Styela clava: one gene and its partner. The protein of the gene in region 2 interacts with the protein of the main gene of each other region in a biochemical or structural test. Links are inferred from orthologs where the notes say so. Each region holds a gene or a part of one and is shown on either strand. Other genes may lie near its edges. The genes, in order: uncharacterized protein LOC120347097 and nuclear pore complex protein Nup155-like.

Region 1 (8,874 bases), on a different chromosome or scaffold from region 2:
GTTTTCTCAAGCTGGGGCCACCAGGTAAGACTGATTTGCAGTCTAGCCAGAAAAAAAATAAAATCTGAATTTCTGAAAATCTGAAATTACCCAAGTGAGACTCATCAGCCAGGCGGAATGAAATTTAAAGTGGAGGCAGGGATGACCATAACCAAATGTTTTACTATTCTGAATATAGGCCTATCGAGTCCAAAACCAATATTAGGAATAGTTTAAAATTGTTTATACCGCATTTGCTCGTTTTGTAGCCCGAGCCCATATGTTTTATTAACCAAACTCACTAACCGGGCCCTTATTCAAACCGGCCCTCATTCAAGCATGGGCGCTTGTTATTTTCAAATAAGATCGATCGTTACAATAATTAATATATTTTCATTTCCAGTTATCAATTATGATTTAAACGAGAATAACGAAAATTTTGACTTTTTCTACGCACCGCAGGTACAAATCCGCAAAAAAAGAAAAGTTTTGCGATGTCCTATCGATATTGAAACGACGCACATGGGCGTTGCAACGCCCAGTTTGGAATCAGTTACGTAATCAATTCTATCTGTTATGTAATTGGATGCGTTGGGCGTGAGTGTTATCTATCAGCGCCTAAAATTCAACAGCGTTGTGACAAAAGCGCTTCTTATTTCCTATTGTTCTCTACCAAAATCAGCTTTTACATCGGGCGGTCATTCGAGCACCGGCCCCTATTTATTTTTATGTTCTGTTCACACAGGCGGCTATTCAAACAGGCCCTTAATCAAGATCGGGCGGTAAAACGAGCATATACGGTATTTAATATCAAAATTCTTGATTTTAGGTATAATTAAGAATACTGTAGTTTCAGTTGAAAAATTATAAAAGCCTCACAGTATGACCAAAGAGAATGTAATTAATTAGGTTAATTAGATATTTACATTCTTTTATTTTGGATATTTACGTTCAATCCACAAATTTTCAAAGTATTTTTTGAATGAAACATACTTTCGCCTTTTATTTGTAGCTTATTGTTAGCTGGTTATTTTTGATGTTGGGTGCGAGACTAAACAAATTCTTAAAAGGGGGTGCAGCCACCTCACCTGTTGTCTAGTTTTAATAATATGATCTTGGTGCGCTTGCATCTCACGGCGAATCCTCAATGCACTCTCTTCGGCTTCTTGGAAAAATCTTTTCATCTAAACAAGGTGAACATCGAATGGGGAAATGAAACATTCCAAAGTAAGTGCACCAAGATGGCCCACAACCTGAACCCTAACCTGGTACACATACTCCGTTCAGGTTGTGCGCCATCTTGGTGCACATACTTCTGGAGCTCCAAAAAAAATGTACCTAAGTACCTAATCGTATGGCAAACTACGACTCTGTCCGGTTATCAGTCCATGTTGGGCACGGGGAGAGAAAATAGTTAACCAATTATGCATTTCACATGCATGGCCTATGATTTTGGAGATACAGTCAGAAGTTCCTACACGATGAGATCAATTTTTTTTCCAATCTGAGTTGGAATTCGAAGTCTGGTAGTTTGAATAGCTTGCAGTGGGATGTGAATATTCCCTCAGCTCTACAACTTTGTGTAAAAAAGTACTCGACTACAGAACAGCGCAGCCAAGGTTATATTTTTAGAATAAAGGGGTAACATGATTCCATGACAACATGTTAGGCATTATCAAGGGGGAAAGACTGAGATAGATAGCAATAAGACAATCTATGATACTCACTCTCTCCTCTTCCCTAGATTTTCTCTGCAATTCTTCTTTTCTCCTATTTCTGACTCTTTCCTGTGTTTTTCTTTCAATTTCAGCGTAAAATTCTTCCTGTTTTTTCATCTGTTCAATATTTTCCCTTCGTTTTTGTTCCTCTAATTCAGCTTCATACTGACGAAGCGGCGCATCAACATCAATAAAATCTGAAAAATAGGAACATCTAGGAAAAACTAGTCAATGTGAGTCACTGTCGGCTGAGAGGCTTCTGTGCCATAGTGAAGAGAGGGGTATGCAACCTGCGCCCTACACAGAAAAATTGTGCGGCACACGGAGAAGTGCCGATATTGAATAGTGTGAAAAAGTTTTTAATTTAGTTTAATCTGGTTCTTGCGAGTATTTCCAATCCTTTTGCAAAGTCCATACCGTAGTCCGATTCAATAGCTATGTTATATCTCCTCTTTTTGTGCTCACAATTACCAGAAAGCCTATTTTGAAACAAACGTGCGATTATAAGAGAATTTTTACAGTCTTCGCGTCTCTTTCTGTTTCCGCCCAAAACAAACGGATGAAATAAATTGGGTAAGCGATGACAAAGAAGTTTTCGCTCCTTTTTCGATTCAGTTTTTTTATGATTTCAATAATGTAATGTGACCATAATGCATTCCTTTTTTAGCTTTCATTTGTTCAATATTTGCTTGAAACAACTCACCCGGAAATAAAAGAGAATGGTATCTGAGAAAAGGCACTGACAACCAATAAGAAATTGTAGCATAGAATTATGGGTACTCCCGTAGTATGTGTACCAGGTTAGGGTTAGGCCATATTTTTATCTCGATTTTCTTCATTTTAGTTCTATTACGAACTTGGGAACTGTCTGTGTTATCCAAGTGAATATACCCCCTGCCCATAGGTTTCAGTCCCTTTACACAACTTGATGTAATGTAGGCGAACAACATTAGTGACCTCCATGTTGGTACACACACTTCTGGAGCGTCGAATTATGAGATGGTCAATGATGTGAGACTAGAATCACTTTATACACTATGAAGAACACGAACCTCTAAATCTCTCATCCAGTTCTTTTTCTTTCCCACTCATTTCAAGCCGGGATTTCGCTTTCTCCTCAGCGACAACATTTTCCACATGAACATTTGCGTCATCATCAATTGCTTCGAGGGCCGCTCGGATCGACGACACTTCAAAAACAATTCCTTCTGTGCTTCGACGTATTTTTGGCGACGCAATATCACTTGCTAAGTCCTTTGCTGTCCATTCGTTATAGTATTTCAATCGGCCTTTTTCTGTTTTTCTCAAAGATTCGATCACCGACAGTGGTGAAGGCATAATTATGGTTTTTGTTAACTAATTCTATATAAAACCTATTTGAAACATGAGATATCAAAGTTTATATAAATTTTCTACAATTTGAAGAGTTTACAGAGAGTTTGCATTGGGTTTTGAAGACAATAATATATAAAGTAAAACATAAGGTGTAATTAAGAAATAAAAAAATGTGAAAACTCTACATTTTTGGCAATTCTTGAATTTCTGCAACTTTAAATGAGAAAAGTAAGAGCACAGTAAATGGCTAATAATTCATTATTCCAAATACATTAAAATACAAATATTATTTTAAAATATCTGATATATAGAACAAACAACACATAAAAATTGATAAAATCAAATGAATTTGGATTTTAAAATGCTGGAATGTTAAGATGAACGCTAGAGTAGTTGGTTTTATATTGTTTACAGTTTTTAGAAATTAGATTAAGCAAATAGATTGCAGATAAAAGTGATTTGATTAGTTTATTATTTTTTACAGTCATAGCAAATAAGGCTCTCATGGTTAACAAGAACATAAAATATCAAACATTTGGAACTCCCGGAGTATGTGAACCAAGATGGCGAACACCGGAACATAGTATGTGTAAAACATTTGAACTTTTCATGATAAAAAATGCAAATTGATAAAAAAGGCTGTGATTGGAGTTTGACTCAAAATTTTCTATGGAATATCAAAAAGCATCAACTTTACTAGCAATCTTAACAATATTAGGATTTACATATTCATCCAGGAAAACCATGCCTTCTTGTCAGCGACTAGTCCATGTCGTATATGGGACTAGTTAGCCAGTTATTTGTTTCTCGGAAGCATGGACTTGATGGTGGAAGAAGCCGTAACCGACCAGCGGTTACGTGAACCACCCTGCATCAATGAGGAGTCCAGCAATCCTCTCGCACATATTTATCCTTAAACAGGATTCGAACCTGCTAACCCCCGCAGGCTAATCAGAGGTGCGGCGGTGGGCACGATGCGCCACACCTAGAATGCTTCAATTGAAAATTGAACTTTTCGTGATAACAAATATATGTAAGTGAACAGGAGTTTTGCTGATAAATCTGAACTTGATGTTGTAAACAGAATACAGTATTGTTAACATTTTTTTCATATGGAATAATTTCAAATAATATATTTTGTGAGTCCAGAAATTCCCTCATCCAGCTTTATACACTGGATTCTTGCTTGACACGTTTGCAGTCCCTCCCTCAGTAGCTATGACGTTAGCTGTTGTTTTTGTACTCGCGTCGTAAGTGAAATGAATGTTCGGTGAATCCACTGTAAAAAAATACAGGAATTAATACCTCAGGACGAAGCTTCTTACCTATTGGGAGAAAATAAGGCTTAGATTTCACAAGTAGGAAATGCACAAAAATAACCCAATCTCTTTCCACGAAATTGCTAGGAAAATCAAGTGTATACAAAGCGGTAACCAGGGGGCGGCCTGACGGGTCTCTTCACAATATTAAACCCTGATAAACTAAAGACCACTTTAGAAATACGAATAGAAAGTTTGGAATCGTTTGTAAACTTTCATTGACTTCTTATCATGTCTTCAAAATTCAAACGAAACTCTTAATACTTACTCTTCACGACAATCGGCCATGACGTTCCGAGAGGAGAAACTTCTTCTTCTTCTCCCTCAACCCTTGTGTAATATCTCATGTTGATACGTCCCTTGTATTCTCCGAGCTCGGGGTCAAAGGTGAAATAAACAACGTGCTTTCGTTTCTTTAGAAAAGAGGGGGTGACTTGGACTGTCTGGTTACCACACGATGTCATTGCAGTTGATTGTGGATGCTTGCAGTCAATACGAAGACTTATCTTTGCACCCATTTTCGTGATCATCTCTCTTTCACTCATAAGGATTTGTACGATATTTCGATCTCGTAAATTTTCCCGTGTTTTTTCGTAAAACGTAAAATCAATGAAAAAAAACGACGCAACATACTCGGTGTCTTTTTCAATAAAAACATCATTAATAAGATGAATTTCACCTAATTCACAATCTTCTTCCGAAACCGCTATGACATCATCAGAAAAATGCAAAACCTCGAATTCAAGATAATTTTTACGGCCGAGACGCAATTTTTGTGTCTCTTTCCATTCCGAATCAACATCTTTACGACCAAAAACAATCGCTGAAATTTTATCAGAGCCTATCGCGCTAAAACAAGTCGAGAGGCCGACTTTAACAGGCTTATCAAATTCAACATGAGGGACGCACGACAGGATGGGGGTAATTGGGACCCCGATATCAGATACATTGTCAGTCTCATGGTTCAATGTTATATCCAAATGAATTTCTTTTTTCAAGGCACCGGGGGGTATATGTATTTTATTTCCACCAATAGTAATCACCCCTCCGTCTGCGCCCACTGTTTTGGACTGACTCATCTTTGGAACAAAGCCCTGCCCAATATTGGCAGGTTGTGAAACGTCTTTTTGAGACCTGCAATACAGAAAGTAGTTCATTAGGATTTATATATCTCGGGGGAGAGGAATGACGAAAAGACGGTTTAACCATTTATCCTTTGGAACTTATATTTTTAAACTAAATTTCCAGGTTTGAATGATATCTGAAACTTCAAAGATTAATTTAAAATTGTGCCAACGTTTTATGGTTGTGATCAATGGATATGCAGAGACAGAGAGAGATTAATATTTCGTCAACCAGAGAACAAGCAATGGTACAAAAAAATATAAACAAAATCAATTCGTTATAGACTGGAGGGAGCGATACAGATACAAACATAAGATCATCGAAGTCAGCTTCCCCGAAATTCACTATTAAGATTCACAGTTAATGTATGTGAACCATGTAGCATCGGATCTGATTGATACACAAAACATTTAGTTTTAAGATATACATTGATAATAAGACACAAATTCAAAAAGTTTGGGCGTTGATTCTTGAGAAAGAAAAGTATATATACGCGAATTGTTGAATTCGGGCGTTAAAATCTTGAAAAATAAAAATACATGAGCATGAACTCGGGCGTTAAACTTGACTTGAAAAGTTGAGTCAGCTACGAGGAATATTGAAGCTCCAGAGCTGTAGCCACAGATTAATTTTACTGTGGAGATGGATTTGGAGTAATTGTGATTCCTAACCAGCTCCCAAGCCCTGCTCATGACAAAACTGAATCATATACCAAACCTCACCTATGCATCTGAAAGTCTTCCATACTTTTCTTATTCAAGGATGGCGAGGTTTCAGGTTCTGAAGTCAAGACTATCTGCCCAATCAGTTTGTCCTCTGTAAAAAAGAGAATTGGAGATTGCCTATCAATTTACTGTAAGCCAGGGTGATGTGAATAGTGTAAAAATAAAATAAACTACCATGCACATTTATATAAAGCATGTTACACTCTCAATTGAAAGGGCCTTCTGGAAGGCCCTATTTAGGTCGTTTTCGGGCGGTCCAGAAGTGTGTGTACCAATATGGAGGTAACTAATTTTGTTTGCCTATTTTACACCAAAGTGTGTAAAGGGACTGAAACCTATGGTCAGGGCGATATTCACTTGGTTAACACAGACAGTCTCGAACTCGTAATAGAACTAAAATAAGGTAAATCAGAATAAAATTGTAGCCTAACCCTAATCTGGTACCCATTTTTCGCAGTACCCATTTTTGAAATAAATTCTCACAGTAAATATAGTAGAAAAAGTTCTAAATTTTTCAGCTTAAAAAGTTAATTAAATGTTATTTACAGACTCCTAAAAACTACTGCACATACATAGTTTTTATTAGTCTGCTCAAATATTGAAAAGTTTTAACTTTTTTTCATCTAAGAGAATTTTTATATATTTTTCAAGAATCGCAAGAAGTATGGGCAATCCAGGTATTAATCGAGGCACTGTTTTTACTGTTTCGTAATTTTCTATAGATTCACAACAATTGCAATGTGATGGGAATGGACTGTCATCATTTTTGTATGCAAATAGAGATAGTTCATTGATAAGAGAATGCGATAAATTTTTGTTGTTCCAGTGTCAATAAATGTATTCTTTGTAATTGCGGACCCTTTTTTTAGACAAGCATGATTTCATGTTGATTGCTTGATTTATTGAGAAACAAAATGCAATTCAGAATGTTTAATGATATAGGAAACTTGGACATTACTATAAAAAATGTAGGACCTTCTGGAAGGCCCTATAAGAAATAATCAGTTACAGGTATTAGGGTTGAATCTTAACATTGAGAAGAAAACCAGAGTTTTGGAGGGAAGAAAAATTAAATAGAATTTATCATTTTTTGTTACAGATTGACGTAATATTATATTTGAGTTTAAGCTATACAGAAGAATAAGTTCAAAGTTGAATGCTGCTACGTGCAGTATCATGATTTTAGTTATCACCCAGTTGGGATTCAAAACATGAGAAAAAAAGAGAGTTAATGATACATACCAATTTCATGTTCAAATAACTTTGAATATATCTCGACAGCCCCATAGTTTTCTTTATTGCTTCGCACCCATTTCATGCATTTCTTGATGTCTCCTTTAGTCTGATAGATTGAGGCTTTTGCTTCTGTAGCACTCATCTCATACTTTGTAACCAGTATTTTAACTTGGTATATTTTCATCAGCATATCTAGGATTAAATAAATATAAATCTTTTAAAAGTTTCATCCAACGATTTGGATAGGATTTACATATTTATCCTGGAGAGAGGAAATCTGATATAATGGCTTAATCATATGGCAAACAGTGCGCTTTCGTCCTGTTACCAGTCCATGTCAGGTATGGGATTAGTTAGTTAGTTATTTGTTTTCGGAAGCATGGACTTGATGATGGAGGAAGTCCTAACTGACAAGCGGTTACGTGAACCAAGTCCATGCTTCCGAAAACAAACAATACAGTAAAAACTAATCCCATACCCGACTTGGAATGGTAACCGGACGAGAGGCCGTGGTTCGCCATATGGATAAGCCGTCTTATCGGCTTTCCTCTCCCCCGGGATAAATATGTAAATCCGATCCTATCCATCCACCGCGGTGAGGAGTCCAGCAATCCTCTCGCACATAATCCTACCCCCACAGGATTCGAACCTGCGAACCCACGCAGGGCAATCATTGATACAGTGGCACGAGTATTCCCTATGCTTAGCACGATGCGGCTACCACCAAACCATTACTATTTTTTTGGAAAAACCAGAATTTTCCTAGTTTGGCATGGCTTACCCAATTTATTGTGATGTGAAGTAATGGAATCTGTAATACCAGCTGTGTTTCTTCTAAGGAAATGTTACACTGAGCAAAATGTTTGTTTTACTGAGCATGAATATTTTAACGCTGAGCAGAGTCCTATACGATTCACAAACTTTGTGAAATATTCCAACAATATAATATATTATCAGAATGCGCTGACATGTAGGCTTGGCTAAAACTAGCCCGCTCCAGATAATCTCAAATAATTAGAGGTACTTGTACATAACAGACAAGTATCCAACACCCCAATGAACAGTGGCAAGCAAACAACCGGCACATATAAAACGTGGAATGAGCATTCTAGCTAGGCGTTAGAAAAGATGAGTCAAAGCCACAATTTGAAAGCGTAATGTTGCAAGTGCGGGATAATAAAAATTTAATTCCGCAAATGGTGTGGTGGCAGTGCGCAACTTAGATCACACCCACCCATGGGTTTAAAGATAGGAATAGATATTAGTAAAAGCCTTTATGCTTAAACGCTAGGTCAGGAGCATTGGTTTTATTTGATACCAAACAGGCAATATGGCCTTATCAAATTTTACCGTTCACAACTTACTCAAATTTTGATCATACTCTTCAGATAATGATGTGATCAAACCCTCGTTGAGTTTGTTCTTCTCGGCCCAGTC
Region 2 (8,494 bases):
GTGTTTCTTGCAATTAAATTTTTCTAAGTTCTATTTTATAATAGCCTTCCATATTATGTTTATCTTTTCTAGCTGAAGAAAAAACATGATATGAAACACAATAAATGTTGAAAATATGCTGATATGATAATTCCAGATTGATCAAACAATTTTATAAATAAAACTTATTTACAAAATTGAACATTACATTACAACATTAAAATTAAAGTCTCACCATCATCTGTGAGCCATGAATTGACAAGAGTTGGAAGTAGAAATGATAATTTACTTCTGGAATGATTAATTTTTGTACATTTTCTAGCAAACCATCCTCCTGCAGCCTGAAAAAAAAACAATTCTGATTGAATTCTACTGTTAGTATTACTGTAATACAAAAAGTGAAACACCAATAAAAAGCTAAAGATATAATATATAAGCAATGTTGGAAAATTCAGGTAAAATGGAATATTTTGATTCATTGGAAACTAACAAGTATTGCTCATTCGTATTCACTCTTGCTTTGATTAATATAAAAGAACCGCCTAACTTTGTTCCCTTTCTGATTATCCCTTGCTCGTGACATTTTTCATCTGGCGTATTTATTTGGAGTATAGCGTACCCAAAGTCATCAAACAATTGACCCGAAACCTCACAAGATGCCCCCAAGTACTACCTAAAAGCCTGTACTTCTAGAACCACTGTTAGACTCGCAAACCCCAGTTTGAAAAACCTGATTTAAACAGAATACAAAACCAAACCTGGTAAGCAATTTCATACAAGCATCCATCTTTACCACCAGTGAAAATTCTGCCAGTTTCAGTACATACAGTGTGAACAAGATAAACATTATCTGAAGTTAATGTGAACAATGGATCTGGTAGCAAGTGCATCTCGCCGTTGACATCTAGAAATTTAAGAATTAGACGATAATTATAACTCAGCTTTATATCTATAATTCAAACTAAAATCTATATAAGATAATAATTCAGTGGCATAAGTCTCTGCATGATTCAATATTGCTGAGATATACTCCAGACCATGTTGACATAATCTTCTCCGCTAAGACCTGGATGCGGCGGCCTAGTGGTTAGAATGTTGGACTAACTATGCTGGCATAGAAGGTTACAAATTTCAAATTCAAACATAATATGTCCACCATCTTTCAAAGAGAAGGAATAAATTGGGAAGGTAAAGCCGACTCTGAAGATCATGGTCCTTCCAAACTAGTAGATGCTTGAATGTTAGTGGATGCCAATAAACTCAAAAATGTAAAAAAGTCTTGTATATGAGAAATGAATGAGATTTCCTTTATGACAGAGTGACTTTCATTTTCGGGTTAAAATTCCCGAAATTGTTTGAAACCCTTTTAAACCCACATGCTCTCTAGCAATATCTGGGCAGTAAGATGATTTCGTTCACTCTCCTAATTGAAAGTTATATTTAAACAATACCTTCTTCTGCAAAACTGACTCCCAGAATAACAATCTCCATCGGTGTTGTCAAGACTAGAAGATATTTGATGTGATCTCTGAATATACCTGCAATATTGAACATTAATTGATAAATACAAGAGAAGCATATAAAAAGTATGAACATGAGGTGTTCCCATATTGTCATGTAAGTGTTCCCATATATTAAAATATAACAGAAAAATATCGGGCGAGTTAAAAGGTGCACAAGGCTCAGAGAAAATATGAAATCGATTGGTCCCTCAAGTGGCGACTGGCGAGGAAACAAATTTTTTGCAACAACACAAACAAAAATTGAGAATAATGACACACATGTACAACTCATGTACAAATAGTACAATAAAGAAAAAGTAATTGATTAAAGAGTATTGATGAAGCTTAATACTCTCCTTTAATCTAAAAGTGCGCAAATAAAAAAATAAATATCCAATGCTCACCAGGTTTGGGTTTGACTAGTGCAACACTTAATATTGTCTCAGAGAGTCCATCAAAATAAGCTAGATCTTCTCCATCTGCATATCGCCATACAAATATATCAGAATCCACAGTCAACCATGCTCTTCCTATTTCGGGAAAGATACCAACAATGCAATTGCATTGCATATCTTTATATTAGTGTGATGTTAAGAAATCATGTTTTCATCATATATAGGCCTATATACCACTAATATACAATATAACATTGAGTTATTACACAGAAAACTATTATAACTAAGAAATGCATGAGACCAGGCCTCCCTTACGTACGGACGTACAGTATATAAAAATGGTCAAATCTTGATAACAGGGTTATGAAAAGCAATGAATAGGCCTATTTATAGAACTTTTGAAGACTGGAATCTTTCCGTTTGTTGTACCAAGATTTCTATCTTCTATCTATTGTAAGAAGATTTCTATCTTGCCATGCCAGGGCCGAAGTTGTGTTTTCAAACCACCCTTAGTCAGAAGTTGATATTTTTAACTTTTCGGAGTGGGAATTTTAGACTTCAAATGATGATAATTGAAGCCAAAAGTTCTGACAGAAACTCAAGAATCAGTAAGTCAACTTAGCATTCTAAACAGACAATGGAAGTTGGCTTTCATGTACCAAACTCTAATTTTTGTTGTCAAACTTTGGTTTTCACGGGTTTCGAGCTGAAGCCTGGGTCAAACTTTCCACCAACCTAGACTGGATATCAAACTAGTCGGAGTTGTTTTATGAAAAGCTTGAGTTTGTATATCTAGCCAGTGTAAATTTTATGTAAACTCTTGATACCCAGATTTTGGCTATAATTTTGTTCAATTTACTCTATTGGTTTAGGCACATGAAATACATCCCTCTGCATCATTAAAAAATTGACACCCAAGAAAAAATATTTATGAATACGACATAGCTGAGCGCATTCTAATTACCGTATCCATTTCAAATCTATATACAAAGGATACGTGCAAATTGTTCGACTAATTCGGGAGGCAGTGGTTTGTTTCGGATATCTGTGAGTTGAGGTAATCGTAAATTTGGATAATCTTCATCATGTGTTCCGCTACTGCTTCCAGAACCTTGAAAATGAAAAAGTATTGTGTTAATTAAGAAGGCTACTCGAGAGAAAAATCAATAATTGAAAAATTAATTGACTTATAGTGCCAGAATTTTCAGTGGAAACTGAAATTAATTTGAAAAACAACATTTTTAATTATGCAGACAAAAAGATGTTTGCCAATTGCCAAGCTCATTTTATGAAAGTTAGACAGTAGCCACGAATTTCACCGCATTGATACATATGCTAGAATAATACACTAAAAATCCTATAAGATTTTTTTAATTAAAAAAATTTGGCACAAAAAATATTGACTCACTTATTCCAGTTGCAGAAATAAGCTCAGACAAATCCAGTTGCTCCCTATCCGCCGCAAGAAATGTTTGTACAAAATTGGCAGCATCTTGAACCTCTTCTTTCAAAGGATTCTTTGTAGCTGTTGCCATTAAAATTCAGGGACTAGTTACAGACCTAGCATAAGATAGAATCTGAACAAAAAGCACATTGAAATAAAGCAGTTAAATTAACTGTTATTTAAATTTTCGAAAAAAATTTGTAGAAATACCATCAGGTGACGACCAAGAAAAAAATGCAACATCAATAAATTTGAAATATTCATTTAAATGAGAAAACTACAACATAGATGCTTCAGAAATTAGTTGATATCATAATGAAAACGCACATTGCTCACACAGTACATTACAAACATTTCTTCCAAAAAACACGAATTTCATTTTAGAAGACACTGTTTATTTTACTCCAAATTCACAAAATGAGTCGAATTCTTTATATTTTATAGCTTTGATGCTTCAACGAATAGACAGATATCTGGTGTCCAAAAATAAATGACAACCACAAAATTGATAATCGAAATAATGTTTTCCATTTATTTTGGGACACCCTTATAATTTAAAAAACCAGACTTCATCAAACTAAACAGATAAATGCATGAATCTATTAACTTCATTAGAAAACTAAGCAATTTCTAAACTACAATTGAAAAGAGACAAATTATAATGTGAAATCAGTTCGTGATAAAGTGAAGTGTAATGAACTATAAATTTAACATTGTTTGATAGATTACTCGATGATTTTTAATTAAAAGTTACTGCAAAATAAATCTCAAGTGTAATTTTGACTGCATTTTCAAATGTGCAATTTTGAAATTCACTACAATTACAGTGAATATATGTGAAATTAATCCATAACTTCGCTCCGCAAACGACAAACTGCATAGTAGATAAGGACAGCTACGAAGATACCAACAACTTCAGATGTCAACCACAAATCTCTTGTGTTTCCAGGGTGATTGAATTCAATATCAAATAGCGACGAAAGACCAGAAGTATCTTCTTCATTTCTCATTGCTTTTCTGAGAACATTCATTCCATCATCATCAAAGAGACGTAATTTGTAGGTTCCACTTGCAGCATTACTAGATTCTGTAACCCAACTTAGCTGATAAATATTCTGTTCTGGGGATTTGGTAACAGGATATATTTTTCCACCAACTTCTGCAAACAGTGGAAATCCTTGAGCTCCACTGCTACATTGTAACTTGAATTTCACAATGAAGGCAGTGTCATCTGACAGGCGCCTTTCAGTTGTTGTATAAGTTTCCTCTGTTACTGTATGCCTCCCACAGATGTTACCCTGCACGAGCGCTACGCATGCAATGATCAAAACGAAAATCTTCATCTTGTCTTTTAGTTTATTTATAATGGTGAAAAACTTTAAAACTAGGATTCAATATTCTAGTACCAAAAAACAATAATTAGGATAAGATTTACATATTTATCCCGAGGGAGAGGAAAGCGATAAGATGGCTTAATCATACGGCGAACCAAGGCCTCTTGTTCTGTTACCAGTTCAGGTCGGGTATGGGATTGGTTAGCCAGTTATTTGAATTCGGAAGCATGAACTTGATGGTGGAGGAAGCCGTAACCGACCAGTGGTTACATAAACCACCCTACTGCCCCAGGAGTCCAGTAATCTTCTGGCACATAACCATTCCTGTATTCCTAACGCTTAGCACGATGCGCCACACCGCCGAGCCTTTCAATAGTCAATGCAACTTCACATCAGTACATAGCATTAAATGAAAAACAAATACGGTACAGTAGGGCAGTTGTGTTCCAAAATGTGTCAACATTTGGTACAATGAAACAAACACTCTGTCTGTCTCTGAAACGAGAGTGTCTGGCATGACGGCAGATTCAGATTTGAGTAACCTACCAAAAATGAGTTTTTTCGCTGAACACTCTAGTCTAAAATGATATGATAAATTTTTTTCTTTTTCACAATATGTAAGCCCAGTCTGTCTCGTAAAGAAGGGGTTTGCACTCACTGTTATAATAGATGTCTTTTAATGTGGGGGTTAATCTTGGAATGGGATACCTAACTCTGTAACTGGGCTGTACTGAAAAAGGTTTGAAATTGAGAAAATATCTCATTCAGTCAATATCCTGATATTTTGCGACTAATGCCCTTAACCCAGCTAATACCGCCAGTCCGGAAGTGAAATTTTAAAGCAAGTTGTCGGTTGGTCGGAGAATAGTACAGAATTTTTGGTTAAAATGCCGATATTTACTAATTTTGATGTAAAATTCCTGTTTGGGCCATGTTTGACAAGATAATAATATATGTTCCCGACGTACAATTTTTCTGGAATTTGGTTCGAGATGAATTCACAGTATGATTTTTTGAAATATCTTATCTGAAAGTGGGGCACGTAATCAAATAGTACAGAATTTTTGGGTCGAATGCCGATATTTACTAATTTTGATGTAAAATTCCTGTTTGGGCCATGTTTAACAAGATCTTATTATATGTTCCCGACATACAATTTTTCTGAAACTTGGTTCCAAATAACTTCACAGTATGTTCTTTTGGAATATCTAATCTAAAAGTGGGGCACATAATCAAAAAGTGCAAACTTTTAGGTTGAAATACTGATATTTATTAATTTCGATGTAAAATTCATGGTTCGGCCATATTTGACAAGATATTATTATATGTTCCCGACATACAAATTTTCTCAAACTTGGTTCCAAATGACTTCACAATATGTTTGTTTGAGATGTCTTATCTAAAAGTGGGGCACCTAATCGAAAAGTACAGAATTTGGGGTTAAAATGCCGACATTTATTAATTTTAATGTGAAATTTCTTTTTGGCCATGTTTGACAATGTATTATTATATGTTTCCAACATATAATTTTCATAAAACTTGGATTAGGATGACTTCAATATAAGTTCTTTTTTTATATCAACTTCAAAAATCTGCCAGGCCATCGGAAATTACAAATAAGTGTTTTGTAATTCCGAGTATAGCAAAATTCCGCCGTAAATCTGGCAAGTACTTTGCGACTATCTTTCCTTTTTTCCGATGCGGCATTTAAGTGCCATGTTAAATCGTTTTCTGGCAACGCTATTTTACCGTTCCGAAAACGAGAAAGATGTCCGCTGAGAGATGTCTGCTAGGGTAACTTTGGTCACTTTTTATGGATATAATTTGGGTTGAAAATTTCAAAAATAACCAATAATCGGCTAAAATATAGACTGTACCTAATTCCCATGTATTATCTGCACCTGAATACAGGAATACAGAAATATAATGTGCCACTTTGTCCAATAACTAGGTACGTCAAGTCTATTACGGGTACCGGTACCGTAAAAGCAGGTAACTTCGGATGATTTCACTATATTATGAACAATTTCTCCGCCGTTTATTGTTCAATTGAAGCCAAACTTGGAATATAATACATTGAAGCCTTTCTCCTCGCGATAAACTCGGTTTCATATCAATCAATACTTTTTTTCATTCAAATTATTGACTTTATTTGCCTGCCGATCTGTATTCCAAATGTTTATAACTTCGGATGGCCACTTTTCGCTTTGCGTCACTTCGTCGTGAGAGAGAAATGTCTGCGTGATCAGTGACGCGTGATAACGTCGCTGCGTAGAACTTACGACGCCGTGATTCGTTTTGCGTGTCGCACACTGACGTTCATCTATGACGGCCGTTTTTGTGATTATTAATTCTTCCGGGTCGGCGGACATCAAAGTTTTATATATCTGGTGTACCCGTGTGTTTACATCGGCAACAGCTCTTGAAGACAAGAAGGACTGATTTCAAAACCCAAATTAATTTTGTTCTGATTCAATCTTACGTGTTGGCTTTGATCTTACTTATCACCGTTTGTATACTATTAATCGTTCGAGTTTAAAGCGAACGGTGATATTATTATCGTCGCCGAGATGGAGATATTTATTAAGACGATGATTGATGTTGTTATGCTTTGCACCCGCGATTGTGCGAATACTGAATTTTTATTTATAATAATGATTGAATAAATCGGCCGTTATGCATTTATACTTGTCATAAGGCTTTTGGTCCTGATAGCGGGTCGGACACTAATTATAACTATTTCCCTCAAGTTTTAACTTTTTTTTTGAACAAAACAATACCCCAACGGTTATTATAGCTAAAACCGTTACCGACTAATTCACAATTTTATCTGCGGAATTTGCGAACTCAGCACTTTACTCGACGATTTTGACAGTGTCGCGCCATAATTATTACCGCTAAATGCTTCAAAATACAACGCATGTAATAATTTTGCCCAGCCCTATTCCTGACGTTTCGCAAAACTAAACCATTTATCTCTTGACTATTCTTAATTTCATGAAAGTGCTATATCTTGCTATTATGATCGTTTCAATACGAAACAAAAATGAGACAACATGGGACAAATGAAAATAAAAAACGGACGAATAAAATAAGTCGTAAAAGTAAAAATGGAAAACAATTTTTAATACAAAACAAAAATGAAACGAATGAAAATAATAAAAAAGAAAAATGGATGATGAATTACGGTAGGTAGTAAAAGTAAAAAAAATGGAAGTGGACAACAATATGGAACAGTGTAGCTTGTGGCCGTGTTGATAATTCAGATATAATGTATTCACAGGCAGATAGACATGAAACGGATAAAAACGCCAAAAACCTCCAATCTCCTGCTGTGTGCACCTGTGCAGAGTTTCATGCTCACCTGTGCAACATTCTACTCTTAATATATTATCATCGCCGATCGTAAAACCTTGTCATTGTGATAGTATAGATACGCGTATCTGGCTGTTCATCAGCCTTACGTATCAACAACATCTATACGGTCGAAGAATGCCGAAATGTTAACACACAAATTTAATGTGCATTAATCGGATTCACAATAAATAAACAGCATATGACCGGGGCTATAATTAAGTTTTTGTAGGATTTGGTGACGAGGATCAGGTAGGAGTTTTCACTTTATATTTAACTACACGTGGCGCCACATAGTCTGGCGTTCAAATGTCGCAGCGAGTTACGCACGAGCTACGCAATGTGACGTCGGCCTTAAATGAAGCGAAATTGAATCACGTTGTTGACGTCACGTTCAGCGTAAGCACCGTAACGTCGATATTTTGACGAAATTTTTAAATCAAAATAATATATTTTACTTGAATCTCGTACGACATCTCGTGATCA

Evidence for each region.
Region 1: the proteins of nuclear pore complex protein Nup155-like (region 2) and uncharacterized protein LOC120347097 form a complex in vitro, tested with the Homo sapiens proteins (2 studies listed by BioGRID). The link is inferred for Styela clava from reciprocal best matches to the Homo sapiens genes NUP155 and GLE1.

The regions. Positions count from the first base shown.
Region 1 is NC_135260.1:1,245,813-1,254,686, reverse strand, and holds the start of uncharacterized protein LOC120347097, read right to left. Parts: upstream 3,164-8,874; 5' UTR 3,036-3,163; coding exon 2,750-3,035; intron 1,895-2,749; coding exon 1,707-1,894; intron 1,164-1,706; coding exon 1,068-1,163; intron 1-1,067. Other genes in the region: uncharacterized protein LOC120347098, read right to left, coding at 4,190-4,311, 4,620-5,485, 6,199-6,292, 7,444-7,629, 8,802-8,874. UniProt on the Homo sapiens protein: Required for the export of mRNAs containing poly(A) tails from the nucleus into the cytoplasm. May be involved in the terminal step of the mRNA transport through the nuclear pore complex (NPC).
Region 2 is NC_135255.1:15,087,201-15,095,694, forward strand, and holds the start of nuclear pore complex protein Nup155-like, read right to left. Parts: upstream 3,425-8,494; 5' UTR 3,412-3,424; coding exon 3,285-3,411; intron 2,988-3,284; coding exon 2,874-2,987; intron 2,054-2,873; coding exon 1,886-2,053; intron 1,518-1,885; coding exon 1,431-1,517; intron 884-1,430; coding exon 738-883; intron 321-737; coding exon 215-320; intron 1-214. Other genes in the region: translocon-associated protein subunit delta-like, read right to left, coding at 4,163-4,663.